Linked DNA regions of Tamandua tetradactyla. The protein of the gene in region 4 purifies or fractionates together with the protein of the main gene of each other region. This does not show direct contact. Links are inferred from orthologs where the notes say so. Each region holds a gene or a part of one and is shown on either strand. Other genes may lie near its edges. The genes, in order: CDYL, ZNF644, DNMT1 and EHMT2.

The links.
Region 1: the proteins of EHMT2 (region 4) and CDYL purify together in Homo sapiens (affinity purification with mass spectrometry; 4 studies listed by BioGRID and IntAct, with this or other methods). This does not show direct contact. The link is inferred for Tamandua tetradactyla from reciprocal best matches to the Homo sapiens genes EHMT2 and CDYL.
Region 2: the proteins of EHMT2 (region 4) and ZNF644 purify together in Homo sapiens (affinity purification with mass spectrometry; 3 studies listed by BioGRID and IntAct, with this or other methods). This does not show direct contact. The link is inferred for Tamandua tetradactyla from reciprocal best matches to the Homo sapiens genes EHMT2 and ZNF644.
Region 3: the proteins of EHMT2 (region 4) and DNMT1 purify together in Homo sapiens (affinity purification with western blotting; 3 studies listed by BioGRID, with this or other methods). This does not show direct contact. The link is inferred for Tamandua tetradactyla from reciprocal best matches to the Homo sapiens genes EHMT2 and DNMT1.

Annotation. Positions count from the first base shown.
Region 1 is NC_135351.1:6,958,668-6,966,629, reverse strand, and holds the start of CDYL (chromodomain Y-like protein), read right to left. Parts: upstream 3,008-7,962; 5' UTR 2,841-3,007; intron 1-2,840.
Region 2 is NC_135337.1:33,361,837-33,368,796, reverse strand, and holds the start of ZNF644 (zinc finger protein 644), read right to left. Parts: upstream 3,010-6,960; 5' UTR 2,494-3,009; coding exon 2,442-2,493; intron 1-2,441.
Region 3 is NC_135337.1:91,553,581-91,560,426, reverse strand, and holds the start of DNMT1 (DNA (cytosine-5)-methyltransferase 1), read right to left. Parts: upstream 3,014-6,846; 5' UTR 2,919-3,013; coding exon 2,839-2,918; intron 2,635-2,838; exon of another isoform or gene 2,347-2,634; coding exon of another isoform or gene 2,291-2,346; intron 1-2,290. UniProt on the Homo sapiens protein: Methylates CpG residues. Preferentially methylates hemimethylated DNA. Associates with DNA replication sites in S phase maintaining the methylation pattern in the newly synthesized strand, that is essential for epigenetic inheritance.
Region 4 is NC_135331.1:87,475,148-87,483,004, reverse strand, and holds the start of EHMT2 (histone-lysine N-methyltransferase EHMT2), read left to right. Parts: upstream 1-4,854; 5' UTR 4,855-4,862; coding exon 4,863-4,904; intron 4,905-5,551; coding exon 5,552-5,618; intron 5,619-5,706; coding exon 5,707-5,925; intron 5,926-6,031; coding exon 6,032-6,285; intron 6,286-7,224; coding exon 7,225-7,309; intron 7,310-7,394; coding exon 7,395-7,435; intron 7,436-7,592; coding exon 7,593-7,748; intron 7,749-7,857. Other genes in the region: ZBTB12 (zinc finger and BTB domain-containing protein 12), read left to right, coding at 1,232-2,611. UniProt on the Homo sapiens protein: Histone methyltransferase that specifically mono- and dimethylates 'Lys-9' of histone H3 (H3K9me1 and H3K9me2, respectively) in euchromatin.

The DNA.
Region 1 (7,962 bases), on a different chromosome or scaffold from region 4:
ACAGAGGAGTAGAGCTTCCTTTTGAGGAAAGAGTGAAGTAGGCTCCACAGAGTTAGTGTTTAGCTGCAATTTGAAGCCTAGGCAGGATTTCAGCAGGCATGGATGGAGGAGGGGTCCTTAGATGGGAGTTACAGGGTAAGGAAAGGGGTAGAGATGGTAATAATGGGATAGGATAGCACACAATGCCTGATCTCAAAAAAGCACATGGTGCCTACAAATCTTTGGGTGGGGAGGAGAGGTGATTACTCTTGGAAAAGTTCAGAAAGATGAATCAAAGTCAGATTTTTTTTCATGTTATTTTCAAATTAAAGTATCATTTATATACAACAAAATTCACCCAGTTTAGAAGTCAGAACTTTGAAGGTCTTGCAAGCCCAGGTAAGGAATTTGGATGGCTAGAGATCATATGATGTCATAAAAAGAATCAACAGATTTGGCTTTGGATTTCTGTTCCATTACTTGCTCACTCTGTGATTGATAGTAGACAAGTTACTACAGTGGACAGATTATGTTATGTGATGTTAGTCTTAGAGTCTCCTTTACTTATTTTCAAGGGTGATAAGAATATACTCTCAGGGGAATGTTGAAAGGATAAAAAAAGTATTGTGCATAAACGTATCTGAGGTATCGATTAACTTTCTACAGGATTCATTGGAATTGTCAGTGGTGGGACCACAGTCTGCATTGTATTAAGACCCCCAATTGATTCTGATCAGTGTAAGCAATGGGAGCCATGAAAAGCTTTTTTTTTGTATGCTGTGTGGTGGGGGTCACGTTTTATTCTTTTCCGTACGAATATCCCATTACTGCAGCACTATATGTTTAATGATTTTTTTTGGCACAGTTAGAACAATACATTTTGATTATGTGTGCAGTGGCACATCCAGGGTTTGGAGATCTGGTGGGAATTAGAAACCAAAGAGGTTGGAAAGCAGATGGATTAGCCTCAGAGGCTGGTTTTGGTCAATGTTTGTTTGTTTATTTATTTATTTATTTATTTATTTATTTATTTATTCAGCAGTAAGCAAACATTGCTTCAGCCCCTTCTTTGAGTGAGGACCTGCATTTCAATAGAGAGATAAAAGTGTCACCATTTCATTCCATCTTTTAAGGAAGGTCACTTGGAAGACCTTCTGTGGCCTCTGTCTTCCTTGTTCTCTGTCTGACTGAGTGTTGGTGCTGGTAGCAGCAGTTCAGGGAAGGCTATGTGTTTCTAGGTTGATGATGGAGGGCAAAACTCTCAGCTCCAAGTATCTACTGCAGTGGCAATTAGTGGGATGCTTCCTTGGCTTTGATCTTTCCTTTTGGATGCTCCAGTCTGGAACCCACAACCAGTTCCTGGTCTAGATCTCATTCTTAATAAAAACCTTTAGACTCTGGTTCTGATTCTTCTCATTTATAACACTAGGAAATTGTAGGCAGGGAAGGAATGAACGTGGAAGCATGAAATCATTTGACTAGAATTACTGAGTAGCTGTAAAAAGTGACCACCAGCAGGGGAAAATTAAACCAGGCAAGGTCAAAGAGGGTCCTGTGGAAGAGTGTATTGACATCAGACTGGAAGGAACAGTAGGAGCTAATTAAGGGAGAGGTGGCAGGGTCAGAGGTTGGAGTTAGCAGGGTGGGTGGATAGTATACTAGGCTAAAGGAACAGAGCAAAGACCAGAGCATGGAACAACTCAAACCACAGCAAACATGGTGTAAGATGAGGCTGGTGATAGAGGTGAGGAATAGACCCTATAAGGCCTTATAGCCCCCTTAAGTTCATCTTCATCCTAAGATCAATGGGATGTCATTAAAAAGCTTTTAAATCTAGCATTAATCAGATTTTCACTTTGAAAAAATCATTGTGGCTGCTCTGAAAAGACAAGGTTAGAGGAGGGTCAGCGTATCAGAGTACTTTGGGGAGTAGTTTAAATGAGAGATGAAGGTAACTTGGTCTATGATGATGGTGCTAGTGATAGAAAGAAATGAACTGAATGTAGAGAGAATTAGGAAGTAGACGTGGTAGTCTTTGGCAATGGGATAGAAATGATGATATGAGTCAGTGGAAGTTGTAAGGGTTGACTCCTAGGTTTCCAGCTTGGGGAGACTGAATGAATGGGAGTGCCATTATTGCCCTAGGGAAACTTGAAAGAAGACCAATTTGATGGGAAGATGATGAGCTCAACTTCAGACATCCTGAGTTTGAGGAGCCTTTGAGTTGTCTTAGTGGAGCTAGCAAGTAGATAATTGGATGTATGAAACTGATGCTTAAAAAAAGATCAAGCTGGGCATATTCTTTTGTGGGTTTATAGTCCACCATCAAACTATAGGTGCTTTCAGTTCCTCTCCAATTACCTAAAACAGAAATCCTCATCCTTCTCCACATATTGCCTATATGAAAGACACAATGCGTCAGTCATTAATGATTCTAATCACTGAATCATTACTCATTCAATCTAAAATATGGACATAATTTTGGACTTCTACCTTTCCTCTATGCCAAAATCTTATTAATCACAATGCCCAGATTTCTTCTTTTGAAATGTCTCTTGCAGATTTCTTTTCTTTTATTCTGATTCAGTCCCTTATTACATAAAATACTTGTGAATTGGTGCCTAAATTTTTCTCCCAACCTTTATCTCCATCCTGAACACTGTAATCAAGTTTGTTTTTCTTCAACACTGCTTCCACCATTCTATTCCTTCAACAAAACCTTTCAGTAATCTCCCATTGGCCTGAGGTGACATTTTGACTCCTTGGTTTAGAAGGCAAGGCCTTTCACAGTGTGTCACCAGTCTTTCAACTGCTACTCTTTCCCTCCCATTGCCTTCATCCCTTTCCAATCTGTTTTGTACCCTGAGATGAATCTCTTCAGAATGTTGCTTGAAATCCATTGCTTTCCAGGAATGGTCTAGGTTAGGAATAGATGTTTTCCTCAAGGACCAAGAGGGTCACTGAAATCAGCTTGTATTTCCCTCCTCTGTGCCCCTGGTCTGTCTCTACACTGGGTGTTTCCTTACTGGGCAGGGGCTTTGCCTCATAAGAGGGCCCCTCTATGATGTAACATCCTCACACCTCTGTACTTGTTCTACTTCTTGTAACATCCTGCAAAAAAGCTAAGAACTTAACATCAAATCACAGCTCAGTAAAAGCAGTTTTAAAGGCGACCATTGCATGTTACGATTATAGAGCACTCTCTTGATCTGACTGGATCTGGAAAATGTGATATTCAGAGCAGTGGTTTCCACACTTGGCCAATTCTTACAAATATTTGGGGAGATTTTAAATGTGTGCAGTCAATCCTTATTTGTGGTTGTTATGTCAGTAAATAGTGAATCATGGCTTCTAGAGGAATATAGGGCTTGGTTCCTGAGAACCTCTGGTCACATTTTTCTCAATTGATCAACACATGATCTTGTTTTATGCATATTACTGTTCAAAGACAACTTATTTAATATATACTGTTGACTCATTAATATTGAATTTAGACTGACCGAGCTATAACTCATGCCTAAAAGAAGCTTATCTAACACACTTTTTTCCGTTTAATGCCAATCACAGCTTTCTTGCATTTAGGAATATTAGACTACCATTCAGCACTATGCTTGGATGCCATTTTTTTTTAAAAAGGAGAATTTATTAAGTTGCAAATTTAAAGTTCTAAGGCCATAAAAATGTCCCAATTAAAGCAAGTGTATAAAAATGTCCAAATTCAGGCACCAAAAAGAGGTCACCCTCACTCAAGAAAGGCCAATGAAGTTCAGGGTTACTTTTGCAACTGGAAAGGCACATGGTGAACATGGTGAAGTCTGCTAGCTTATCTCCAGGCTTTTTGTTTCATGACGCTCCCTTGGGAGCATTTTTGGAGGCCATTTTAAAGTGTTTTGGTTTGCTAGAGCTGATGAAACGCAATGTACCAGAAATGGATTGGTTTTTACAAGGGGGATTTAAATTAACTTAAAAATTTATAGTTCTAAGGCTGTGAAAAATGTCCAAATCAAGACATCAACAGGGTGATTTCTGGACTCTGAAGACCAGCTACAGTGGGCTTGTGCTCCTCTATCAGACAGCAAGGCACATGGTGATGTCTGCTGTTCCTTCTCTCCTGGGTTTCATTGCGTCCAGCTTCTTACTTCAATGGCTTCCTCTCCTATCTCCTGTGTGGTTCTCTTTTAGCTTCTGTGTCTCTGACCTTTTTTTTTTTTTTACATGGGCAGACACCAGAAATTGAACCCGGATCTCTGGCATGGAAGGCAAGAACTCTGCCTGCTGAGCCACTGTGACCCGCTCTGAACGTCTGTGGGGCTTTTCTCTCTAAACTTCTCTAGAGCTTGTTTTTCTGTCTTTTATCTTCTTTAAATGATTCTAGTAAGAGGATTAAGATACACCCTGAGGCATGCCTCAACTGAAATCACACTAATCAAAAGGTCATTTCATAAGAACATTTATTATGGTTATTAGGTTATCAATAGTTAGAAAATGACATCGACTTCTAGGTTGATGTCATTTTTGACCTAAGAATAGAAAACGTCAACCCGTAAGAGGTCTACATCCACAGGAATGGATTAAAAGAACATGATCTTTTCTGGGGCATTAAACCAACACAAGCAGTGAAACCTCACAAAAAGCATAAAAATACTAAAAACATGGCATTAATGAAAACTGAAACAAGAAGGCAGAGCATCATCTTGTTTGACCTCAGCTGGGAATATGTGTCTCAGACGTCTATGATTTTTTGTTGCTTTCTGTGTGCCTGTAAATGACCATAAGTATCAATTTTGGAGTTACAAATACATTTTTTTGTGAGTAGGCACATTTGGATATACAGAATCTGTAAACAATGACGATGTTTATTACATGGCCCCCCTCCTTGACCTTCTGAATAATCTCCATAGGGTGAGGCTTTGGAACCTGTATAACTAGCCCCTGCTTCAGAGTTCAGAACAAATAGACTTGGCTCCAAACCAATAGACAGTTAAGGAGGATGGCGATATTTAAGTCTAGAAGTGCTGGGAGGACAGCGACGTTGATTTTGAATCTGGAGGCACTGGGAGGATGATGATATTTCTATTAGTGATAATAATATGATTGGCCTCTATTTGTATATCAGATCATAATTTACAGTGTATTTTCTTATATGAGAAAACAGAAAAGATGGAAGTGCAGAAGAAAAAGGAGGAGGTTTGCAGGGGACCATCTTTCAGATGGTGTTTAAAACACTTGTGGGGCGTGGGGTGCAAGGGTAGTTCAGTGATAGAATTCTTGCCTGCCATGTGGGAGACCCAGGTTAGATTCCTGGTCCATGCACTTCCAAAAAAGAAAAAGGAAAACAAAACAAAACAACAACAAAAAACAAATGGTGCTGTAATAATGGGATAATCACATGGAAAAAGAATGAAGTGTGACCCCCCACCGTACAAAAGAAACAAGCAAACAAAAAACAATAGCAAAAAGTCAACGCCTGTGGGCCAACTAGGTGCATATTACCAGCAGGTTGTTGGAAATTTGGGTCTGGGACTGAAGAATGAAGTTAGGGCTAGAGTAATGTAAGTTTGAGGGTCATCTGTCTGGAAGAAAGAGTTGAGGCTGTGTAAGGGGAGTGAGAGTCTTGTGAAATAACTACATTTAGTCTACAGAGGAGGGAAAAAGAGTAAGGAGATAGAAGATGTGGGAGGAGAAGAAGGTCAAGTTCAGGCTCATTGTGTAGGGAAGGAAGATCCTTCTAGAAGGAAGAGTTGGGTGGGTGGTCAGTATGGTTAACATTAACGATTACAGAGTAACTGAAGAGGAGAAGGGGTGGAAGAGGCCAGTGACTTTGGAATTCAGGATTACCTTATGATTTTCTTAGGGATATATATGCTGGAGATGGGTGGAGGATTGGTTTTCATGGGCTTGAGAAAGGAGTGGGAACGGAGAGGTCTCCTATTTCCTCTAAAGATTCCACAGAGATCTTTTTGATCTGACAAGCTTCCTGCCCACATCCTTACTCTTGCTTTATTAAGAAAAAGATTTTTTTTAAAGGAATTCAATTATCCAACAAAGATTGATTAAACCCAGAACACTGGTTATGATGGGTGATTCTTGAAGTTGAGGCTCTTCAAAGGTAAGATCTAACTCCCTCCTTTTAAAAAATAAAACAAAAACGTTTTTCAACCTTTTAAACCCTTACATGAAATTGAGTTTCAGAACCCTTCATTGCCAAATTCCTGCCAGAAATTTACTTCTGAACGTTTTAATAGATATCTTCAAAGTGCCTTCTCTTTCGATAAATGTTTAGATAGGAGAAAGATTTCCAGGAAGTTGCCTCAAACAATTTAGTAAGACTTCGAACTATGCATTTGAACTGAGATGGTTTGGGATTGGAATTTGAAAGTAGATATGTTAGGAGTTGATGTTATTTTCTAACTATTGGTAGCTTAGACTTTTTTTTCTTGCTTTCTTTACTTGATATATGTTTCTACACTGAAAACACTCTTTCTAGGAAACATTCTATTTTCACTTTGAAAATATTTGTATGTGTATGTGTGAACAAATGCTTGTTGAATCAAACGTTGATTGTATTAAACACTTTGGTTTTTGCATTCTCATCCTTTATTTTTTATTTTGCCTTTTAATTATGAAAAATTTAAAAATAATACAGTAATGTAGAAAGGGAAAGATAATGAGCACATATATTATCCTTCCCTAGATTTAACAGTTGTTAGCATTTTGCCATGTTTGCTTCATATGACATATGATAGATAACATACACAAATGCATATAATATTGTTCTAAGCCACTTAAAAGTTAAATTACAGATCTCAAGAAGCTTCACCCCTAAATACTTCAGCATACATCTCTAAAAATGGCATTCTTCTACATAACCATAATACCAGTATCACACCAAATTAAACTGATAACAATTTCTCTGCCCATATTTAAATTTTTTCATTTGTCCCCCAAATATTTTGTATCTCTGGTTTGTTCAAAACAAGATCTCATCCAGATATCCCTCTTTTTCTAAGACAATCTCCCCACTTTTCTTCCAGCCCTGCCCCCCACATTCTGGCTTTGTCTGGTTGTTTCCTCATAACATCTTGTCCTGTTCTCTCTTCTCTGTATTTCCTGTATCTGGAAGTTATAACGAACTGAAGGCTTAACTAAATTCAAATTAATCATATTTGGCAAACAAACTTCATGAGTGATGCTGTATACTTCTTATTGTATCATTGGAAGGAACATATTAACCAGTTATCCTACTGTTGGCAATGCTATGTTTAAATGCTGGTTTGAGGTGATAATGGCCAGATCTCTCCATTATAAAGTCATATTCTCTCCTTTGTGACTGGGGAGAAATCTTTGGGTGGTAATTCTTAGGTACCATGTGACAATCCTATCATCAGCATCAACATTTTACTTAAGATTTTTAGCATCCATTGATTGTCCTTGTTTGGATCACTGATTCACGAGAAAACAAAAAGTGGCAATTTTCTAATTTTACCATTTCTCCTATATTTATTAGATGAGATTTATCTATAAATATGGGATAAATCTTCACTTCCTTCCCTTTAATTGTGATTTTCAGAGAAGACATTGATGCAATAGTCACTCTCCTTTAGGGTGCCATTATTGACTCAACAATTTTTAAAAATATATATTCAATGTGTTTAATCAATTCTGGTGATTATACTTTTTAATGTATAATTGTCCAAAAATTATCCAGTGAGAGTCACTTAAAGCTAGCTTCTGTGTCTTTTGACATGTTCCCATTCATTTTTTTTAGTTGAGAAATCATCACACAGATACATTCCATACATGGTGTGCAATCAATGACTCACAATAGCATCACATAGTTGTGTACTCATCACCATGATCATTTATTAGAACACTTGCATCACTACAGAAAAAGAAATAGAAAAAACTCATCCATACCATACACCTTACCCCTCCCTCTCATTGACCACTAGTGTTTCCATCTACCCAATATATTTTACCCTT
Region 2 (6,960 bases), on a different chromosome or scaffold from region 4:
GTTAGTAGTCAAAAAACTTCCACAAAGAAAAGCGCAGAACCAGATTTCACTGGTGAGAGCTAGCAAATATTCAAAGAATTAACACCAGTCTTTCACTAACTGGTCAAATAATAGAAAAGAACTCTTCCAACTCATACTAAGACGACAATATTATCCTCACACCAAAAACAAATCAACATCCCTTAATGAATATAGTTGCAAAAATCTTTTTTTTTCTATTTCTTCTGTGTTTTCCCTCCTCTTTTTGATTTCCCAATTATTTTGATGAAGCCCACCTTGTACTAACTTCTTGAGATACAGTGTATTTGAAGTAAATATTCTAACATTTCCTATTTTTAGTCTACTCCTACACTTGGTAGGGTATACACACAGGGTATATAGAATTAATAGTTTGGAAAAAACTCTCCTTCAGAAATTTGAAGGTATTATTTTATTTACTCAAGTATCAACATTACTGAGTACCAATCCTTTTTTATACATCCCATTCCTCCCTCCCCTCACCTGAAATTTTTGAGCCCTCCCTTTATTTCTGGTGTCTGAAATTTCACCATAATGTGATTCTTTATTTCAGTCACTATGTTTGGCATTCTGTGAGCCTTTTCAATCTAGAAACTTAAGGTTTTGCTTCAATTTTTCTTAAACAATTCCCTACATCCGTTTTCTCCTGTTCTGTAGTTTTAATCACACCTATGTTAAACCCACAAGTGTGATCTTTTTTCTTATTTTCCCCTATGTTACATGTGGGAGATTTCCTAAATTTTATCTTTCAACCTTCTATTATGTATTTTATATGATAAATTTTCAAACATTGAATTACAATATTTCTCAGTCTAAATTTCTAAGGTTAAATTCAGAAAAAGCTATGGGAAGAATATCAAATAATCAAACTTGATAATAAAATTGGTGAATCAGGCTTGGAAAATCAGATGAATAAGGAGGCGGTCAGGCATCCTATTTAGGATGTCACTGCATAAATGTCAATGGCACTGTCACTGTAAGACATTTACTGCCACAGCACAAAATTTTGAGTGCTACCGCAACCACTGAAAATTATCTCTAACTTCACCACCACCGTTCTCTCCTTGCACCAGTTTACTAGGTTAATCAATAGATAGTTCCACGGTCACCCCTGCTCACCCACACTATTATACAGAAACCCCAAATTTCAGACATGTATGCAGAATCTCTATTTCCCAACGAGAGTGAGTAGGGGAAAATGTATTCTTTTACTTTAGCTGTTTTGCCTCAGTAGTAAGCTTAAGAGTCAAATGTGCCTGTTTTGCCATGTTGCCAGAAATCTCACCATTAACTTCTTAACTGAAGTTAAGTCTATATTAACTGTGATAACAATTAAAATGTAAACTTGTTATGACAAATATACTATCTTAAAAATTTCATTAACTCCGAAATTTCTGCTATATCTTCTAACTCTAATAAAAGCAGAAAAGATTTTAAAATATATGTTACTTCTGTGATATTTCATGTTTTTCTACTTCTACTGTAAAAAAGGTCTTCATTCATTATAAAACATAGCACACTTTCAACTTAGGAAACCTTAAAGTCAACATTAAGAAAAACATATCATAAATATCAAATACTACCACCACCCTGAGGGAACCACAGTTTAGGGATTTTTATTTTTCTCATAAAAAAAGCAGTATGTTCCCAAATGCTCCTAAATTTTAAACAAATATCTACTTAAAAATAAATTGAAACACTGGTAGTTCATATTATTATTATTATTTATTATTATTATTTTGCCTGGGCAGGCACCGGGAATCGAATCCGGGTCTCTGGCATGGCAGGCAAGAACCCTCCCTGCTGAGTCATGATGGCCCACCCCAGATTATTAATTTTAATTAACCTGTTTTCCCAACTGTCCCTCTACCAATTAGAATGTCTCTAGAACCACAGTTCAAATGCTCAAACCTCAGCATTACAGTTTACATCTTCTCTTTCCGTTCATCTAAAATATTTTGTACTCAAAAGTACCTGAAATTCAGAAAATACTGCTATAGCATAATTTTCTTGTGTTTTACTTATTTTTCAAATCAAACTTTAAAAAAAAACCTCAGGTCAGTTTTTTTTAATAGAAAAAGGCAGATGTATCTCAATTAGTGTTAATAACAATGAAAATTTTCTCCAAGTAAATTTATGTTCAATACCAGAAGATAATAAAACTATTCCATTCTTATTTTAACTTTGCACTACAAACTTAGGAGCCACAATAGAAATCTACTTTATTTTTTATTTGTGAATATAACATATATACAAAAAAGCAATAAATTTCAAAGCACATCACAATTTCAGTTTGGTATGGGTTACAGTTCTACAATTTTAGGTTTTTCCTTCTACCTGCTCCAAGACACTGGATCTAAAAGAAATATGATTCAGCTGTTATACTCATTTGTTAAATGTCATTTTTTCTATTATAACTCCACCTTCTCCTTTGATCTTTCTTCCCATCTTTAGAGGTATTTGGGCTATGTCCATTTCAACTTTTTCATGTTGGAAAGGGCTATTGATAATATAGGAGAAGGGGACAGAACTAGGTCATTTTCTGGAGAAGATGGCCCCTCTGGGTTTCAGGAATTATCTGGCCTAGGAATCCATCCAGAGGTTCTAAGTTTCTGGAGAGTAATCATAATGCATGGAACCTTTGTAGAATCTCAGATAAAACCCTAGCTGTTCATTAGGGTTGGCAAGAAAGGTGTGGATTGGGGTTTAGCAAACCATGATAAACAGCAATATGTAGCTAAAGTTGCATAAGAGTAGCCTCCAGAGTAGCCTCTCGACTCTTTTTGAACTCTCTCAGCCACTGACACCATATTTGCTACAATTCTTTTCCCCCTTTTGATCAGGAAGGCATTGCTGATCCCATGGTGTCAGGATCAGGCTCATCCCTGGAAGTCATTTCCCATATTGCCAAGACAGCTTTCACCTCTACATGTCATGTCCCACAAAGGGGAGAGGGTAATGATTTTACTTGCAGAGTTGGGCTTAGAGAGAGAGAGGTCCTCTGGAAGTAACTCTTAGAACTATAGGTAGGCTTAGCTTCTCTACTAAATAAATAAATTTCACAAGAGCAAGCCTCAAGATCAAGGGCATGGCCTATTGACTTGGGAGTCCCTAATGTTTGAGACAGTACCAGGAGTTTCCTCATTGGTAGAGTTTAATAGTTCCATAATTTTTCTCCCACCCCTCAAGGGATTTTGCCATACTTTTTCAGTATCTCTCATCACACTCTGGGACGTATCCGTGCATTACATTAAGCTATACAGAATTACAAGCCCTTATTCCCATTCTGGGTTCAATGTGCTTGGATTGTTGAAATCATCTATCCAAACAGATTGAATTAGATTATGTGCTACAGAAAATTTAAGTTTTGGACAAAATAAACCTCTCTTCCTTTGGTGTCGCAGAGTAGGTGAAGTTCTAAAATGCAAACAATGTCCTCCTTACCCCCGTATTCTGATTTAATTTAGTCCCCACCTGTTTTATTTTAAAACTACCCATGCTACCTTCATATACTCATCGTGAACCAAGACATTAACTTCCTAACAGACCTTCTTCATACCAATCTTTTCTCCAATTATATTACTTGACTGTTAATCCCTCTCCTCTTTTCCTCATGCAATTCTGCTCAAAGGCTTTCAGTAAAACTCCTTATTTCTTTCTCATAAAACTCCTTTAGATTCCTCTAGCTCAAGACACAATCTTATCAAGTTTATTTTTCATTATATTTATTTCAAATAAACTCTACTTCAGCCAAGGAAAATGCTTGCATTCCATAATTCCCATCTCTGTGCTTTTTTTTTTTTTTTTTCTTTTTGGTGCATGGTCCAGGAATCGAACTGGGTCTCCCATATGGAAGGCGGGCATTCTAATCACTGAACTACTCCGTGCTTTTAAACATGACTTTCTCATAGCTGACAGTACCTTCCCTCTCCACTAATCTACACATACCACTTTTTCAATATCTAGATAAAAATTTTTGCCAAGAGGTTTTTTTTAATTAATACACTTTCTATAAACCATTCATTCATATTATTTTGTTTCACATAAGCTCAGTAATTCAAATATTTCCCTAATAGGTGCTCTTCAAATCACGTTTTAGATCAGGAGCTATTTGAAGCACTGTATATGTGCATATTCCTAGTGAGACAGTAAGTGAATTTGTATAATAACTAATAAACATTTAAACAAGCAAAAGTGGGGAGAAATATAATGACACAATGCTTTTCCGAATATAAAAATTCAAATCTCCCAATCCCGAATTCAAATATAACATTCATTTTTGTCAAGAGGAAAACATATACTGTTCAATGCATTTCTTCCTACATATAATTAGTACCATTGTAATAATTTTGTTTGTAAGTTTTGAAATCTAGCCCAAATAAGCTATGAAGAAAGTTTTGATATTTTGTAGATAACAAGCATATACTTTTTCAATTCCTAACCTAATTCTGCTTTAGTCTTCTATACTTCACAAACACAAAACCTACAATAAGAAAAATTGATAGATGAGGTTTTATTATTTCTTTAAGGAAACTATTAAAATTCTTGAAATAGGAATATATTAAATGTACTTTAGTTTTAAAAATTGTAAACAAAGCACAAAGTCCAAACATACAACTTTTTAATAGAGTAAATATTTTCATTCATAAACTCAAAAGCACTCATAATCCAATGCTGAGAAATTCTTCATGCTCCATTCTGCATAATTTACAAAAAAAACTCCAATTTTCAAAGCTAAGCATGTTAAAATATGAAGACATATTTTCATCATTACATACCTTTTACAACTTTTTTTAGTAATACATATTTCAGAACAAAATCAAATTTCTCCCCAAAGCACCAATTTAATATTGTTATATAATAAAAGCTTCCAGTGCTCAGTATTTATGAAAAATAATGCTGCTAACCCATTTTGAAAAAAAAAAACAAACAAACTGATTGAAGACCTAGAAATAAAAACCATGATCAACAATTCTAGTTTCAGTTCTCACTTTATGAAATCTCCTTCACGGGTTTTAACCAGTGAATCTTTTGTGCAATTTGCCTTAGGGTAATATCCTAATTATTTACACACAAATAAATGCCAAAATCTTTCTCATTCTAAGGTGGATACAAATCTGTAAACAGTAGTACACCAATTAATTTCTATCCCTACGATCACAATAAGAAATACCCAATACTTTATTAAGCAAATATGAAATCCTGAAAGCTAAACTTACATATTACCTACAAGCTACTGTCAAAGAGGATCCAAAATGCAACTACATTAGGGGGCAACCTAAGACCTCCTCCACCTCCTTCTTGGCTATGTGTTTAGAGAATACTGTACTAAAAGCAAGCCAGATAATTTATGTTACCTGTGAAGGAAATTCACATCTCTCCATTCTGAACAAACACTGAAATCATAAGACTAGCCTCTAAAGAGTTATAATAGTGAAGACTAAGGATCTCTCTAAACTTGGCATAATCAAGATTGGGGGAAACAAACAAAAAACCGAAATAAAACAGAAGGGCCACGGTTCCAGCTACCCATCGTCTGTTTTACCACCTGTACAGGTTTGAAACTGTCCCGTACCCCAGAAAGGCCATACTCTTCAATCTTTATTCAGTACTGCTGGGTGGGATCTTTTTTTGTTTCCATGGAGATGTGACCCACCCAATTGTGGGTGATAACTTCTGATTAGATGGTTTCCATAGAGATGTGTCGCCACCTATTCAAGGTGGGATTGCTTACTGGAGGGAACCATTTTGGAAAAAGCTTCAGAGCCAACAGAGCCCACATAGCCAGAGACCTGCAGACAGGCAGAAGGAAAATACCCCCAGGGAAGTCCTATGAAATGAGGAAAGAAAGCTAGCAGACACTGCCATGTGTCTTACCAGCTGAGGAGAAACCCTGATGGGCCCTTTCTTTGGAGTTAAGTTATCTTTCTCTGGATGCCTTAGTTTGGTCATTTGTTTTGTCTTAGAATTGTAAACTTGCAACTTAATAAATTCACCTTTTAAAAGCCATTCCATTTCTGGTATATTGCATTCCAGCAGCTTCAGCAAACTAAAATACCAACAAATTCACAAATACCAAACAAGGATAGAAGAGAAATAGACACAAGCACCAACTCTCACTACCCTTGAAAAGGAGGACAGATATGCCATAATTAAGTTCAGAAACAAGAAAACTAATTTACAGAGATAGAATTCAGAATAGTGGTTACTTTTGAAAGGGGACTGACAGTAGGCACAAGAATCTTACTTCCATTTAGTAAAAGGGGACCCAAAATGTTCTGAAAATGTTCTATATCTTGATTTGGGTAGAAGGTACCTAGATTCACTTATATGTAAAAATTCACTAACCTGTACTCACGATTTGTACACCTCACTATGTGTAAATTATGTCTAAATAAAACATTTAAAAACAGGTCACCAATAACAAAGTATTGGCCAAACTGAAGAACCTTTTCTTAGTTCTCACCCTATTTAAAAACTCTCCATTATATTACCATAGAGTATCAATATTCCCTAAATTTCTCTTTAAAGGCCCACATGGCTTTGCTAGTAGAGTTTCTCTAGCATTTTTGGTATTCTGCTTCATATTAATTCTATTAAATATTCATCAAGTACTCAATTTATGACCATGGATTAGGCACCCTCAAATACACACACACACACACACACACACACACACACACACACACACACACACCCCACAATATACAAACTAAATTTCCTAAACCGGGTTCAGACTATTCTATTATCTGCTTTCAAAATATATCTCTTGCTTTAATTTCTATCTCTTCTTTACAGGAACAGTGTTCTTCAGCCTTTAGTCTCATACTCTTGACCCAGTCATCTTTTAAGGCTCAGTTCAGTTTCTACTTTACACTTTGTCCATACTCCTACAGCACTTACTAACTATACCTGTGCTGTCCCATACTGTAGCCAGCAGTT
Region 3 (6,846 bases), on a different chromosome or scaffold from region 4:
GCTTGAGCAGAGTAAGAAAAATCACAGGGAAAAATGTGGCTTGCCCTGAAAGGCATGATTTTAGAAGACTTGGGTATATTATACTTCAAAAAGTTTAGAAATACAAATATTGGAAATACTTTCTAGTATCATTAGATATCTAATGGAACTACAAGTTAAAAAAGGAAGTTAAAAAGGAGTTTAAAAAGGAAGCTGCCTGACCCCTAGGGATGAGTCTGCTCTCACACCGTGAGATGGACAATACCTTCCTGACCAAAAGGGGGAAAAGAAGTATAACAAATAAGGTATCAGCGGCTGAGAGATCAAACAGAGTCCAGAAGCTACTCTGGAGGCTACTCTTATGCAAACTTCAGCTAAACACTGCTAATTCCTATGGTTTGCCAACCCCAACCAACATCATTACTGTTAACTCTTAAGAACACCTAGGACTCTGAGACACTATAAAAGTTTCATGCACTAACTTCATTTTCCCGAAACCTATAACTTTCAGAGGGTTCTTGGGCCAGATAAGTCCTGAAACCCAGAGGCACTAGCCTCTCCAAGATTATCAACTAATTACAACCCCCTATCCCTTATTGTTAACAGCCCTAATCAACATGAAAAAGTCAGAATGGGCATAGCCCAAACATCCCTATAGACTGGGAGAAGGATCAAAGGAGAAGGAGGAGTTATAACCAAAAAAAAAGGATTTAACAAATGAGTATAACTGCTGAATCACAATACTGATATTTCTTTTGGCCTCTAGTGTTTCGGAGCAGCTAGAAGGTAAAATCTGAAATAGTAGAATAGTAACCCATAACAAACCCTGAAATCTGTTCTATAACTGCTTGTTAAAATGTACTTTGAGGGCAGTGTGACAGTGGCTCAGTGGCAGAATTCTCGCCTGCTATGCCTGAGACCCGGGTTCCATTCCCAGTGCCTGCCCATGCAAAAAAAAAAAAAAATTTACATTCATTTACAAAATCTAAGTTTAAGGGACTGTTGAATGTCATGTTTATGTGTCTATTTTTTTGTACCGTGAGATACTTCAAAATGTAAACAAAAAGCTGTTAAGAAGTTCACATAAGCTAATAATTTCAGTGACTATCACTTGATCTAATGTGGGTGTCATCACTTCATACCAAGAGGCGGCAATTCTAGTCCAAAGTTATATGGAACCTGGGGTGCACTGGTGAGTGTTTAGACTCATCCATAGGTGTTTTATTTCAAACAAAGCACTCAACCAGGCCACAGAGCCCCCTGAGTCAGTGGGCCATTGGCAACCACTTGGCAAAGGAAAAAGGCTATGGCAAGTTGCAGACTTAAGCACAAATCTCTGCTTCTTAATAGCAAATTCCTGAGAAACCCGCTTTTAAGATCTTGAGGATTAAATGAGATAAAGTAAAGTACTTCATGAAATTTGTAACTGATTAGCAGAACTGAAAAAAGTAAGGCAAATTAGGTGAAAACAATGTTAATGCCTTTATGCACCGATAATGTCACTTAAAGCCGACACTATTAATTCTACTCTACAGATGCAGAGGCAGCATACATTTGCCCAAGGTCACAGGCAAGCCAGTGGAGAGAGGGTTATCATCAAGGAAAATAAGGCAGGGCCCAAATTTCATTTAGTGGGTCTCACATTGTGAAGGTAGATACTTTCATCATTTCATTTCCATTTTAAGTAACAGGATATCTTGGGGAAGGATGGGAAGCCTGATTTCCTGCAACAGACAAGACAAATCCCCTCTAACCGTGGTTAAAAAGTGGGCTGAGCTTTAAATGACTGGTACAGAAGCCCCAGGGCCCCTAAACACATACACACACACACCTCTCACCTCCAAAAGCCCCAATCAGAATTGGTCTGGCCCCACAATACGGACTAGACTTGGGGGATGGGGTGGGAAATAAGCACAGGGAAAAGGAGAAATGGCAAAGCTGGGTTCACAAATCTGGCGTGGAAGCCTTCAGCCCCGGGAATGGGGTTCCCAAGAGTGAATTTGATATGCCCTCCACAAACAAGAGGCTGAGGCCAAATGCTCTTTCCACCGACCCCTGTCCACCGGGGACCCAACTCAGGCAGGAAGGGGCCTGTTTTAGATGCCACCCTGCAAACTGCAGCCACCTCTGGCTTAGCGAGGCTTCCTGGATGCCCAGGGCTCCCAGGCAAGCAGATTTCCTAGAAAGGACCAGTCCGCGTTATCCAGCTGCTCCGCGGTCCCGGTCCTGCGCTGCCGGGTAGGAGGCGGACGACACCCGCACAGCCCGAGGGAATGAACAGAGCCCCCATGAAAGGCTCGGGCTCGCGAACCTAAGCCGGCCTCGCCCGGGCCTCGACCGGCGACGTCGGTCTCTGGAGGCCGCCATCCGGATGCACAGCGCGGGGAATCGAAGGGTCTCCCCAGTGCGAATCACGGAGAACCGGGTCGGCCGGACCCCGGCCCAACTGGGCACCGGAAGTGGAGGCCAGAGTGCCGGGGCTGAGGGGCGTCCAGAGGTCTGGGGGGGCCGCTCCCTGCCTAACACCGCTGCTCAGCAAAAGGAGACCCCCCGAGGTGAGCCCCCAGTTTTGCTCCGTTTTGCGGGGCGGGGGGGGATGTCTAAAGAGACCCCACGTTTCTAGCCGCCAGCGCGCCGTGAGGGGCCACAGCCCATTTTGGCGCCAAATGGCCAGGGGCACGCGCGACCGGAAGTACCACCCTGACCGCGCCAACCGCCGCCCGCCGCGCCATCCCGCGCATGCGCGTCCGCCTGTCAGCGGCGGCCGCGAGCCGGCCCGAGGGGAAGCGACCCCCCCTCCAGCGCCGTACCTCTCCCACCCCGGCCGCCCCCGAGGACGCAGTCTCCCACGACACTTACCGCCTGCGGACATCATCGGGCAGTGAGACGGCCGGGGAGGCCAGCGTGGGCACACGAGCCGGGGCGGTTCGGGCGGGCATCTCGGAGGCTGCAGCGCGGGCGGGTGGCCCCGGCTTTTCGCGCGGAAACCGACTGGGAGGGGCGGCGAGGGGAGACGGCGTGTACCACCCCGGCCTGCCCAAGGGGGAAAGCGGGACGTACCATACGGAGAGGCCGTACCACGTACGGGCGGAAAAGCCGTGCACAGGCACCGCGCATGTGCGAGACGGGCGCGCACCCCTACACGGGGCAGTGGGCCTGCCCAAGCTCCGTCGTTGGCAACGGGTGGGAGCGCCCTACCCAAGACTTTCATTCATTCATTCTTTCGGGCTTTCTGAGGATAAAGTAGCGAGCAGCCTCAGGGGGTTACGAGCCAGCGTGCAGGCCCTTGAGTTAAAGTCCTCGCTTTCAACCCCATCTCTTTCCTCACTAGGCGACCTTGAGCGGTGGGTCACTTGGACTGAGTCTGTTTCCTCACCTGTAAAACGGGGCTAAATAGCACCTACTCCAGAAAATCTGTAGGATACACAGAACATGTAGCTGGCGCCAAGGACCCTGGTAGTGCTGGGAGGGCGAGATCACGTCCACAGCCTGTTTTTTAAAAAAGAACCAAGTCAACTTAACAATTCTGGTATACTCTTCTATTGCTCAGATGTGGTCTGTCTGTCTCTCTCTCTCTCTCTCTCTCAGCCAACACACAAGCAAACTCACTGCCCTCCCCCTCTCTACGTGGGACATGACTCCCAGGGGTGTGGACCTTCCTGGGAATGTGGGATAGAAATCCTAGAATGAGCTGGGACTCGGCACCAAGGGATTGAGAAAACCTTCTGGACTGAAAGGGGGGAGCGCGAAATGAGACAAAATGAAGTGTCAATGGCTAAGAGATTCCAAACAGAGTCCAGAGGTTATCCTGGAGGTTATTCTTACACATTATATAGATATCACCTTTTTAGATTAAGGTGTGTCTGAGAAGCTAGAGAGAAGTGCCTGAAACTGTAGAGCTGTGTTCCAGTAGCCATGTTTCTTAAGATGATTGCACAGTGATAATAGCTTTTGCAAAGAGACTGTGTGATTGTGAAAACCTTGTTCTGATGCTCCTTTTATATACGTATGGACAGATGAGTAAAACATATGGATTAAAAATAAATAAATAGGGGGAAACAAATGTTAAAATAAATTAGGTAGAGGGAAATACTAGTGGTCAATAAAAGGGAGAGATAAGGGGTATGGTATATATGAGTTTTTTCTTTTTACTTTTTATTTCTTTTTCTGGAGTGATGTAAATGTTCTGAGAAATGATCATGGTGATGAATATACAACCGTGATGATATTGTGAGCCATTGATTGCACACCAAGTATGGAATGTTCATACATTAAGAATAGGTTCATGTGTATGTTGATTGGTTTCATTAATAAAAAAATTTTAAAATTGTGGTATAATTTTTCATTTTCTTGGTATTTAACAAGTGAATGTGTTTGTGTGCACACATGCGCGCGCGCGTGCGCACACACACTGTAGGCACCCTAGCAGCTGGGAAGGAGAAGCGTGCCTGGCCAGAAGTGGACCTCAAGCCCTCTGGTTGCTATAGATTCTATGCATGGCAAGATCCAAGAAGACGGAATAATAATACTAAGAGTATAATTAATAGTTATTAATTTTATAGGTAACCAGCATTTATGTACTATTCTATACCAGACTGATTAGGAGTTATATAATTTAATCCTTAACAAACCCTAAAGGGAGATATTAGGACCCCATTTCCCATGGTCTAGAACTGAGGACCCAAGATCATAAATTCAGTAAGTAAAAGGAACTCTGAACCCAGAGCTTGAGTGCAAAACAGTGACCCCAGGGTTGGTCAGCCATCTGACCCCTGGGAGGCTAAAAGGACAGCACTGGGAGAACTAGATGAAGGAGGTAGCAGGGCAGACAGGATGGCAGGTAGAAGACAGTGTTGCCAGAGTGAGGCTCAGGCCCCACAGTCCTGCTGGAACCCAGCATCCAGGCCTCTAAGCCGGGTGGGGAACAGACTAGCAGACCTGTATTTCAGGGGCCTCAACTTGACAGAGAGAACAGCTGCATTTATTGGGTCCTTTGCCAGCCTTGTGAGGAAGGGATGACTTGACCCATTTTACAGATGGGACAAGGGCTCAGGGACATAAAAAAAAGATTTGCCCAAGGGCCCATGGCAAGTTCGTGTCAAAGCTCGACTTCCAACTCAGTGGTCTTCTCCCGAGCTGCTCACGCCAAAAAGCCAGGCACCATCTTTAAATTCTCTCCTCCCCGTGCATTGGGGATTGAATCACTCACCTCCCCCACAAAAGATAGGTTCAAGTCCCAATCCACATCCCCATGTGTTTGGTTTTTTTTTGTAAACAGGACCTTTGAAGGTGTATTATTAGTTAAGATTTGGACTCATTTGCAAATTGCAAACATCCTTTTCACAGCTAAGGCCAAATTAAATCAGGGTGGTCTTAATCCATATACTGGAGGCTTACAAACAGAGGCAATTTGGATGTAGGCAGTCAGTAGAAGCCAGAAGTCAGAGGAAGCCAGAAAATGAGCAGATGACCATGTGACGGAGGCAGAAATGCATGCCAAGGAACCCCAAGGATTGTGGCAAGCTACCACCTGAACACTACAGACTCCAGGAAGAAGTGCAGCCTCGAGACTTCAGTTTGTGGACTCCTAGCCTCAAAAAAAACATGAGACAATAAATCCCTGTTTTTAAGCCAACCAACCAGTGTGTTGTATTTGTCGCAGCAGCCCCAGCAAACTAAGCCAGCCCTCACAGAATGAGCTACTCTTGTTGGTTTTTTCTCTGCAATGCAACCCAAGTCCTTCTCCTTACCACCTCTGCTGCCACCCCAGCCCAGCCTGCCATCCTCATTTACCTGGACTATTCTAGCAGCTTCCTCCTCAGCTCCAAGCTGTCCCGGAAAGTCCCTTCTCCACAGTGCAACCAGAGAGCTTTAAAAAAAGAATAAAAATAATTGGAACATGTCATTCTCCTGTAAAATCTTCCAAAACTTCCTATTGCCCTTGAAATGAAATCCAAGTATTTTATTCCATTTACAGGGTCTCCTCCCCCCTTCACTGAGCTCAGCTTACTTGGCCCCCTTTTACTCTTTCAAGCTCTTGCGTGCATCACAGGCTTAACCTATGCTGCCCCCTCCTCCTAGACCAGTCTCCTGGGAGATCCACCCAACTCCACCCAGGGTCTCCTCTGGCCACCCAAAAGCAGCTCCATTCCCCTCTTTTTTTCGTCACATTGATCATCATCAGAGATTCTCTTATTTACTGTCTCTTGTGGTCTCTTAGAGCAGGGGTCAGCAACCTTTTTCCTTAAAGGCCCAGAGAGTAAAATAGTTGGCTTCACAGGCCACATGGTCTCGCTCCTGCCCTTAGAGCGCAAAAGTCACCATAAAAAAGTTAAATGAGAAAATAAAAAATTAAAATTAAAAAAATCACCATAGACAGTTCTAAACCATAGCCACGGCTGCAGTGCAGTAAACTTTTATTAACAAAAAGATGCACCCCTTTGATAGTTAATCAAATGGCATTTAAGATAGGGGGTTTAATATTTAGAATTTAAGAAACTAGATAGCAATCTAATATCCACAGATTTTTTTCCTTGCTTGCTTTAATTTTAAATTGGCTTATGAAACATATTGTACAAACAGGCTTTACTATGATTGCTTAGATTTTTTTTTAATACGCTTATGAATAAGCTAACTAAGATATCCAGTTTAGGTGGTTAAGATTTTCATGTTAATTGTAAAAATATTTGTATCTTCGTATTTTCCTGAAATCGAGAAAATTGTTTAGTAACATAGGTCATGACTATAGCAATGAAGATATTTGTAAGAACTTTCTACTCGATATTTTGAGAGCATTCAGTTTTGACAGCTGATCAAATGCTATTTAAGTTAGTGTTCAATATTCAGAAAATAAGAACTTTGCTATCT
Region 4 (7,857 bases):
AAAGGAGATACACGCGTGGAAACAGCGATCAACAGCTCCGATACTCGCCGGGCGGTTTAGGGCCCTGGGATAGGCCGCGATTCTACCACGGTCTCCAGCGCCGCACAGGTGGACCAAAGCGGCACCACTTCTGGGAGCAGGTGGCAGCCAGGCCAGCGGGATGCCAGGCCCACTGGGAGCCAGGCGGACGCTCAAAGCTGGAAGGCGGGGTGCGGAGCGGGTAGCGCCGCTGGCCGCCGGGAGCAGGAGGCGGGCCGGAGCAAGCGAGCCTCCGCGCGGCACTTGGCACGCACGCGCAGACGGACCGCGGGGCCTGGAGGCACAGAGGAGGGGGAGCGAGAAAGAGCGGGGAGTGGAACGTATTTCCGCTCTGGCGGACAAATAATCTCGGCCAAAGGGGAGGCAAGGCCGTCCGGCCCCTTTAACCGCGTCAGGGGGGGCTGGTGAAGAAAGGGGGGTCGGGAAGGGGGGATCCTGCTCCTTTAATTCCCTCCCCTCTTCCTCCTCCCCGAGTCCTCGCCGCCGCCGCCGCCGCGCGCGGGGCCTGGGACACACGGCACGAGCCGCCCCCGCCCCTCCCCCTTACACCCACGCGGAGCCGGCCACGCGCGCGCGCCCCGTGCACCCCCGCGCCTGCGCGTTGCCCAGGCCCTGCCCGTGTGTGGGGGGCGCCGCCAGCCCCGGGGGGGTGGGGGAAATAGGGGGGAAAAAACAGCGCGCGGAACCCTGCCAGGTGAGAGGCGCGTGCATTTAGGGTCGTGGGGCTGGGGGGCGTGCCACGGACCTGGGGGGTGGCGTGCACGATGCGTGCAGACGGCAGGAGGGGGGAACGTGAAAGGCGCGTGCAAACGTGCAAAGGGGGGGCGGAGGAACGAGGCTGCGGGTAAAGGGGGCGGGGTGAGAAGAACCTGCAACCCGGGCCGCCCCGGAGCCCAGAGTCCCAGGTCTCTACCCCCCCTCCCTCAGTTCCTCCCCAGTGGGCTCGCGGGCTTGCCCGATGCTCGCCGGCGGCCCCGCCCCCGGCAACCACGCCTCCTTCTCGCAGGGGCCCAGCGACTCCCCTGGCACTGGGGAAACTGAGGAAGAGTCCTGAAGTCTTGTGGATAGGGTGTTGGGGATAGGAGGTCGAGCAAGAATGGAGGTGCGGGGCCTAGAGCCACGGCTTCGGAGAGCCAGAGACCTTTGTCTCTGACCATTTTCCTTCCCAACTAGGGTTGCCCCCTCCGCCACAATGGCCTCTGGGGTGGAAGTCCTGCGCTTCCAGCTGCCGGGCCATGAGGCCGCTACACTGCGGAACATGAACCAGCTCCGCGCAGAGGAGCGGTTCTGCGACGTGACCATTGTGGCCGACAGCCTCAAGTTCCGCGGCCACAAGGTCATCCTGGCCGCCTGCTCGCCGTTCCTGCGGGACCAGTTCCTGCTGAACCCCAGCTCTGAGCTGCAGGTCTCGTTGATGCACAGTGCGCGCATCGTGGCGGACCTGCTCCTCTCCTGCTACACTGGTGCCCTGGAATTTGCCGTCAGGGACATCGTCAACTATCTGACGGCTGCCTCCTACCTGCAGATGGAGCACGTGGTGGAGAAATGCCGGAACGCCCTCAGCCAGTTCATCGAGCCCAAGATTGGCCTCAAAGAGGACGGGGTCAGCGAGGCCAGCCTCGTGAGCGGTGTCAGCGCTACCAAGTCCCTCCTACCTCCTGCCAGGACCCCAAAGCCGGCCCCCAAACCCCCTCCTCCACCTCCTCTGCCCCCTCCGCTCCTGCGCCCTGTGAAGCTGGAGTTCCCGCTGGATGAGGACCTGGAGCTGAAGGCGGAGGAGGAGGACGAGGATGAGGACGAAGACGTGTCTGACATCTGCATTGTCAAGGTGGAGTCCGCCCTGGAGGTGGCGCACCGGCTCAAACCCCCCGGAGGCCTGGGAGGAGGTCTGGGCATCGGAGGATCCGTGAGCGGCCATCTCGGGGAGCTGGCCAAAAGCAGCATGCCCCCCAGTGCCGTGGCCCCGCCGCAGGGTGTGGTGAAGGCATGCTACAGCCTTTCTGAGGATGCAGAAGGGGAGGGCCTGCTGTTGATCCCAGGGGGCCGGGCCAGCGTGGGGGCCACTTCGGGTCTGGTGGAGGCGGCAGCAGTGGCCATGGCTGCCCGGGGGGCGGGGGGCAGCCTGGGGGCGGGGGGCAGCCGGGGGCCCCTGCCCGGGGGTTTCTCGGGTGGGAACCCCCTGAAGAACATCAAGTGCACCAAGTGCCCGGAAGTGTTCCAGGGCGTGGAGAAGCTGGTCTTCCACATGCGGGCGCAACACTTCATTTTCATGTGCCCGCGCTGCGGTAAGCAGTTCAACCACAGCAGCAACCTCAACCGCCACATGAACGTGCACCGCGGCGTGAAGTCGCACTCGTGCGGCATCTGCGGCAAGTGCTTCACGCAGAAGTCCACGCTGCACGACCACCTCAACCTGCACTCGGGAGCTCGGCCCTACCGCTGCTCTTACTGCGACGTGCGCTTCGCCCACAAGCCCGCCATTAGGCGGCACCTCAAGGAGCAGCACGGCAAGACCACCGCCGAGAACGTGCTGGAGGCCAGCGTGGCTGAGATCAACGTCCTCATCCGCTAGTGGGCCCGGGGCCCCTGGGCTCGGTGGGAAGGGTCTAGGAGAATGGGGGGGGGGGGGTCTGGGGCAGGAAAGTATGGCGGGGAACCTAGCCAGACATATCCTGAGGGAGGGGCCGAAGATTCCTTGGAGAGAAGACCCTGCCTCTTCACAGCGGGGAGTGGGGGGGAGAATGAAGGAGATGGGGAGAGGGTTTTTTGAGGTCAGGGGATCCGGAGTCCCAGAGAAAGATTGTCTCTAAGAAGTGCATGGATATATGGAGGGAGGGGGAGGGTCCTATAGAATGAGGAGAAAAAAGACTGGAGCTTGTGTTATTCTGGGTTAAAGGCTGCCCAGGAGGAGATTCTGACATTTCATGAGGTGGGTTTGGGTGGGTGGGAATCGGGAGGGAACTGGGCAGGAGGCAGCCTACATGCTCCTGTTTAGAATAGACCCTCAGCAGAGGGAATGGTAGGGGAGAAGAGTATTGAATCCCAGAAAAGAAACGGGGAAACGGTTCTTGCATGCTGGGGGTTGGGGACTTTGGGTACAAGGCTCTCCAAAATTCTAGGGAGAACGAAGTAAGAAGTCAGGTAAGAGAATATGGAGGTGAGCATCCTGGGTAGATATTGGGAAGTGGGGGTATAATAGCGAGAACAGTGTGAATAGTGGCAGGGGTGGGGGGAGGGCACTTAGAAGAGAGGACACAAGGGCTGTTGGGGGGGGAAGGAGTAGAGACTTATACAGTATTTTTTAAAAAAACAAAACGTATTTTTTAGGATTTTTTCTGGAGTTTGGGGTTTTAGTTTTTCTGCTTTTATTTTCAACAAAAAATAAAAAAAAAAACCACCTTTTTTTCTTTATACTCTGGCAACTGCGTGTCTATGACCAACCCTTTTTCTTTATTCAGTTCTCTGACTGCCCCACCCTAGACAGCCTCTCCCTCTAATGTGGCATGCTCAATACCTGGAGATCACAACTCCTGCAGGTCCCATCCCCGAAGGACCCCAGCCTGTAACAGGGAAGGGAGAGTGTAACAAGTGTGCTCCTCTCGCCAGGGACTCTTGTCAGTTCTGTAACCTCAGCACCTTGCAAGATACCCCATAGCACCACAAGTGCAGTGGTTGTTTGGTAGTGGCTGGGATGCACCTGAGTTGCTTTTCTATTTGATGAGTTCGGTATTAGGACTAGGGATAGGTTATACAGGGGGGTCAGTATGTCCACTGAATTATAAGCAGAATTCCGGGTTTGGGCAATTTTTGTCTAGGTAGTAGGTACAGTTTCCAGGGAAAAGTGAACAACCGCTACATTTGGGTTCTGGTGCAAGGAAGACTACAATTCCCAGAAAGCTATGGAATAGGTCTTAACCAAAGAGAACTACAGTTCCCAGAAGGCCTTGAATTGGCCTCAGGTGCCCCTTATCTCAACCACCTACCTGTGTCCAATACTTCCTGTGAAATCGTTATCTTCCAAATTTAGCCAGAATGCCATACCTAAAGGGGTGGTACTTTAGTGCTCGAGGTTGTACATTTTGGTGCAATATCATTCCTACTTTCATTGATAGCTAGGCTATGACTCATGGAGTGTCTGATTTTGCTTGTGAAGTGTTTAGGAAGTGAAAAAAAGGGTAAATGCAGTGTCAATTGGTAGTAATGATTCTTGGGCTGCTGGGGCTTACCTGGATCCCTAGTGCATGTGATGCAGTAACATGCCCAGCATAAACACAAGAGACATTTAGTCTCAGGTTTTCAAAAGGGGACGCTACTAGAGGGGACAAGAAGCAGCAAGGCCACACTAGCAGAGCGTGTAAGTGTTCTCGGCGCATCCCCATCGCCCCCTTCTTGCTCCTTAGAGAAGCGAGGCCAAAATTACGGCTGAGCCTTCTAGTCTGGTGACCCAGAAACCAGAAAGAGAAAAGAGCAACCAGAAGTGGGAGAAGCACACGCGGGCCGGATAAAAATACAGCCGAGGCCAAGAATCAGGAGGGTCAGACTCTCCGTTTGTTACCTAAAACCAGGTACGCACGGAAAGGCCACACTTGGGCCCAGGCGTGCGTCGCCCTCGGTTCTCCGCAGAGCTGAGGCCAGGAAGGGCAGCAATTGTCGCCTACGGCCTGGAGCTTAGAACAACCACCGCCATCTCCAAGGCAGCTCTCGGGGGAAAATGGCCAGAAAAGCGCTGTGCGGCGCCTTTAAGACCCCTCCTCGCCCTCCCTCCCCCCGCCCACGTGACCCGGGGCGGCCGCGCGCCGGCTCGGCCCCCCGCGCGAGCGGCGATGGCGGCGGCGGCGGGAGCTGCAGCGGTGGCGGCCGCCGAGGTGCGGAAGGGGAGGGGGAGAGGCGGGTGCATGCCCGCGCGCGCGCCCGGGGGAAGCGCGCGCCCGTGCAATGCTCCGGGGGTGCAACGGGGCCGGGGGGCCCGGGCGGGACTTGCAGCAATCTGGGGGGCCAACACCGGGGGCGGATGAGGGGACCAGGGGGTGGGAGGTGGGGGGAGTGGGCACGGAGGCGCGCGTGCAGCCGCCGGCTGCCCCCGAGTGGGCGGCGGGCGCCGGGGCCCCAGCGACACGCGCGAGGGGCACGAGGGGCCGTCCGCCAGGCTGGGGGGCAGCGGGCGCTGGAGGGGTTGGTGCCCGGGGTCCCCGCGGCCTGGGGGACAAAGGGGGAGCGGCGCGTGCAGCCGGGAGGAGGGGGCGGGGCCGGGGCGCGGAGGCCCCGCCCCCTCCCCCTCCTCTCCTCTCGGCCCCAGAGATGCGGGGTCTGCCGAGAGGGAGGGGGCTGATGCGGGCCCGGGGGAGGGGTCGTGCGGCCCCTCCGGGCAGCCGAGGCCGCGGAAGGGGGGGGGGCCCATAGGGGAAGAGGTAGGCCCCGGAGCCTGCTGTCTCTTCCCAGAGCCCAGGCGTCCTGGGCCCCCCAACTCCCTACCGGCCTGACCAGCCCTCCCGTCCCTTGTCTCCCCTCCCAGGGGGAGACCCCCGCTGAGGTGGGGGCACTGCTGCTGGAGAAGGAGCCCAGAGGAGCCGCCGAGAGAGGTGAGTGTGCAGCTGAAACGGGCCCAGTTGGACCTTCACCTCCCCCAATATAGCCCTTAGCTCTGTACTTTTTTCTCTTCCTCTTTAGTTCATGGCTCTTTGGGGGACACCCCTCGTAGTGAGGAGACCCTGTCCAAGACCACCCCCGACCCCCTGGAGCCAGCTGGCCCCTCATCCCCAGCCTCTGTCACTGTCACCGTTGGCGATGAGAGGGCTGATACCCCTGTGGGGGCCACACCGCTCATTGGGGATGAACCCGAGAGCCTCGAAGGAGATGGGGACCTCCATGGTGGCCGCATCCTGCTGGGTGAGAGGCTGGGGGTGGTGGGGGGGTGGAGGTGGGGGCGGGGCAGCCTTTGACTCTGCCTTCGCTCTTATCTTGCCTTCTGCCTGTCTGCCTGACTGTTTTTTAGGCCATGCCACAAAGTCATTCCCCTCCTCCCCCAGCAAGGGGGGCGCCTGTCCCAGCCGGGCCAAGATGTCAATGACAGGGGCTGGCAAGTCCCCCCCCTCAGTCCAGAGCTTAGCTATGAGGCTGCTGAGCATGCCAGGTGCCCAGGGAGCAACAGCAGCAGGGCCTGAGCCCCCTCCGGCCACCCCCAGTCCAGAGGGGCAGCCCAAGGTTCACCGAGCCCGGAAAACCATGTCTAAACCTGCCAATGGACAGGTAAGAAGTGGGGGGTGGGGGGTGGGGCGATCAACTGCCAGGAAACTCTTGTGGGCTTTTTTTACAACTTGGTTTCAGGCGTCTTCTAGTTCAGTCACGTGTTCACATATGGTTTCAAGGGACTGGGCCAGGGAGCTTAATTCTTGAACACACGTCTTTGTGTCTTTCTGGAGTTTCACGTCCTTGGAGAGGAAGACAGAGACAGGTTTAAAGAGTTAATTATATAGTCAAAGGTCTTACTTACCTTTATGATAATGACTATGTAAAGGAACTTGAAACCACCCTTCCTTTCTGCCTCAAAGCCAGCCCCCAGGGGAATTTTTTTTCTCCTTTCTTTGAAGCTGCCCCTGCTCCGTTTTAAATTCCTGGGAATCCCTATGAGGAAGGACTACAGAAATGAGTGGAGGGAAATGACAATGGCCCCAGAATCTCAGAAACTTTATGGCCGGGTTTTAAGGACTCTTGATAACATTCTGTCCTGGCTGTGGTTTGGGCAGCCTCAGTCAGGTCTTTCATCTTGTGTGTGTGTGTGTGTGTGTGTGTGTGTGTGTGTGTGTGTGTGTTAAAATATATACAATGTAACATTTCCCATTTTAACCACTTTGAATTGCTCAACTTGCTGGTATTGATTACATTCATAACGTGTGACCATCAACGAGGATCTTTAATCTGTAAAGTTTGTTTTCTCATCTTAAAAATGGGAGAACGACCCCTGCATCTGGGTGGCTGAAAGATAAGTGATGGTTGGTGGTGGGGGATGTGCTTGACATCCTCCTCTGAGGCAAACAGCCCTTGGTATTGCTACATACTCGTTCCTGGAGACCCAGATGGCATTTTTAAGGGTGTGGCCCGCCAATCCAGCCCCACCAAGGGCTCCAGGCTACTGTGCAGAACTGTAGGTATTCCCTTCTCCTAAGTGTGCTCCCTCTCGGCCCCCAGCCCCCTGTCCCCGAGAAGCGGCCCCCTGAAGTGCAGCATTTCCGCATGAGTGATGACGTGCACTCCCTGGGGAAGGTGACCTCAGGTCAGTCCCACCCCCCACCCACTGCAGCCTGATGTGGCCTGTCCGCAGGATTTCGAGTACAAGCCTCACTCCTCTCTCCTTCCAGATGCCGTCAAAAGGAGGAAACTGAACTCTAGAGGCAGCCTGGTGAGCCAGGAGAGGCAGGGAGCGAAGCCTCTCCACCTGGGGTTGGGGTGGGGCTGCTTCAGGGGTGCCCAGGCCTGGGACCCGACTCTGGGTGCTCAGGGGAGGTGAAAGTTGGTGAGGAGTGCCAGCGACGTCAGTTTTTCTGCTCTTTTTCTAGTCGGATGAGTTGGCTTCTGCCCGGGGCTCAGGAGAAGTGACTCTGGAGAAGGGGGACCCTGGGCCCCTGGAGGAGTGGGAGACAGTGGTGGGAGATGACTTCAGTCTCTACTATGATTCCTACTCTGTGGACGAACGCGTGGACTCTGACAGCAAGGTGAGATGGAGCTGGCCGGCCTCCCCCAGCCCCCCTCCACCACAGCCTGGGTTCACTGGCCACACTTTCCTCCCCCCTCCCCCATTCATTTTGCGCCCATTCATTCACT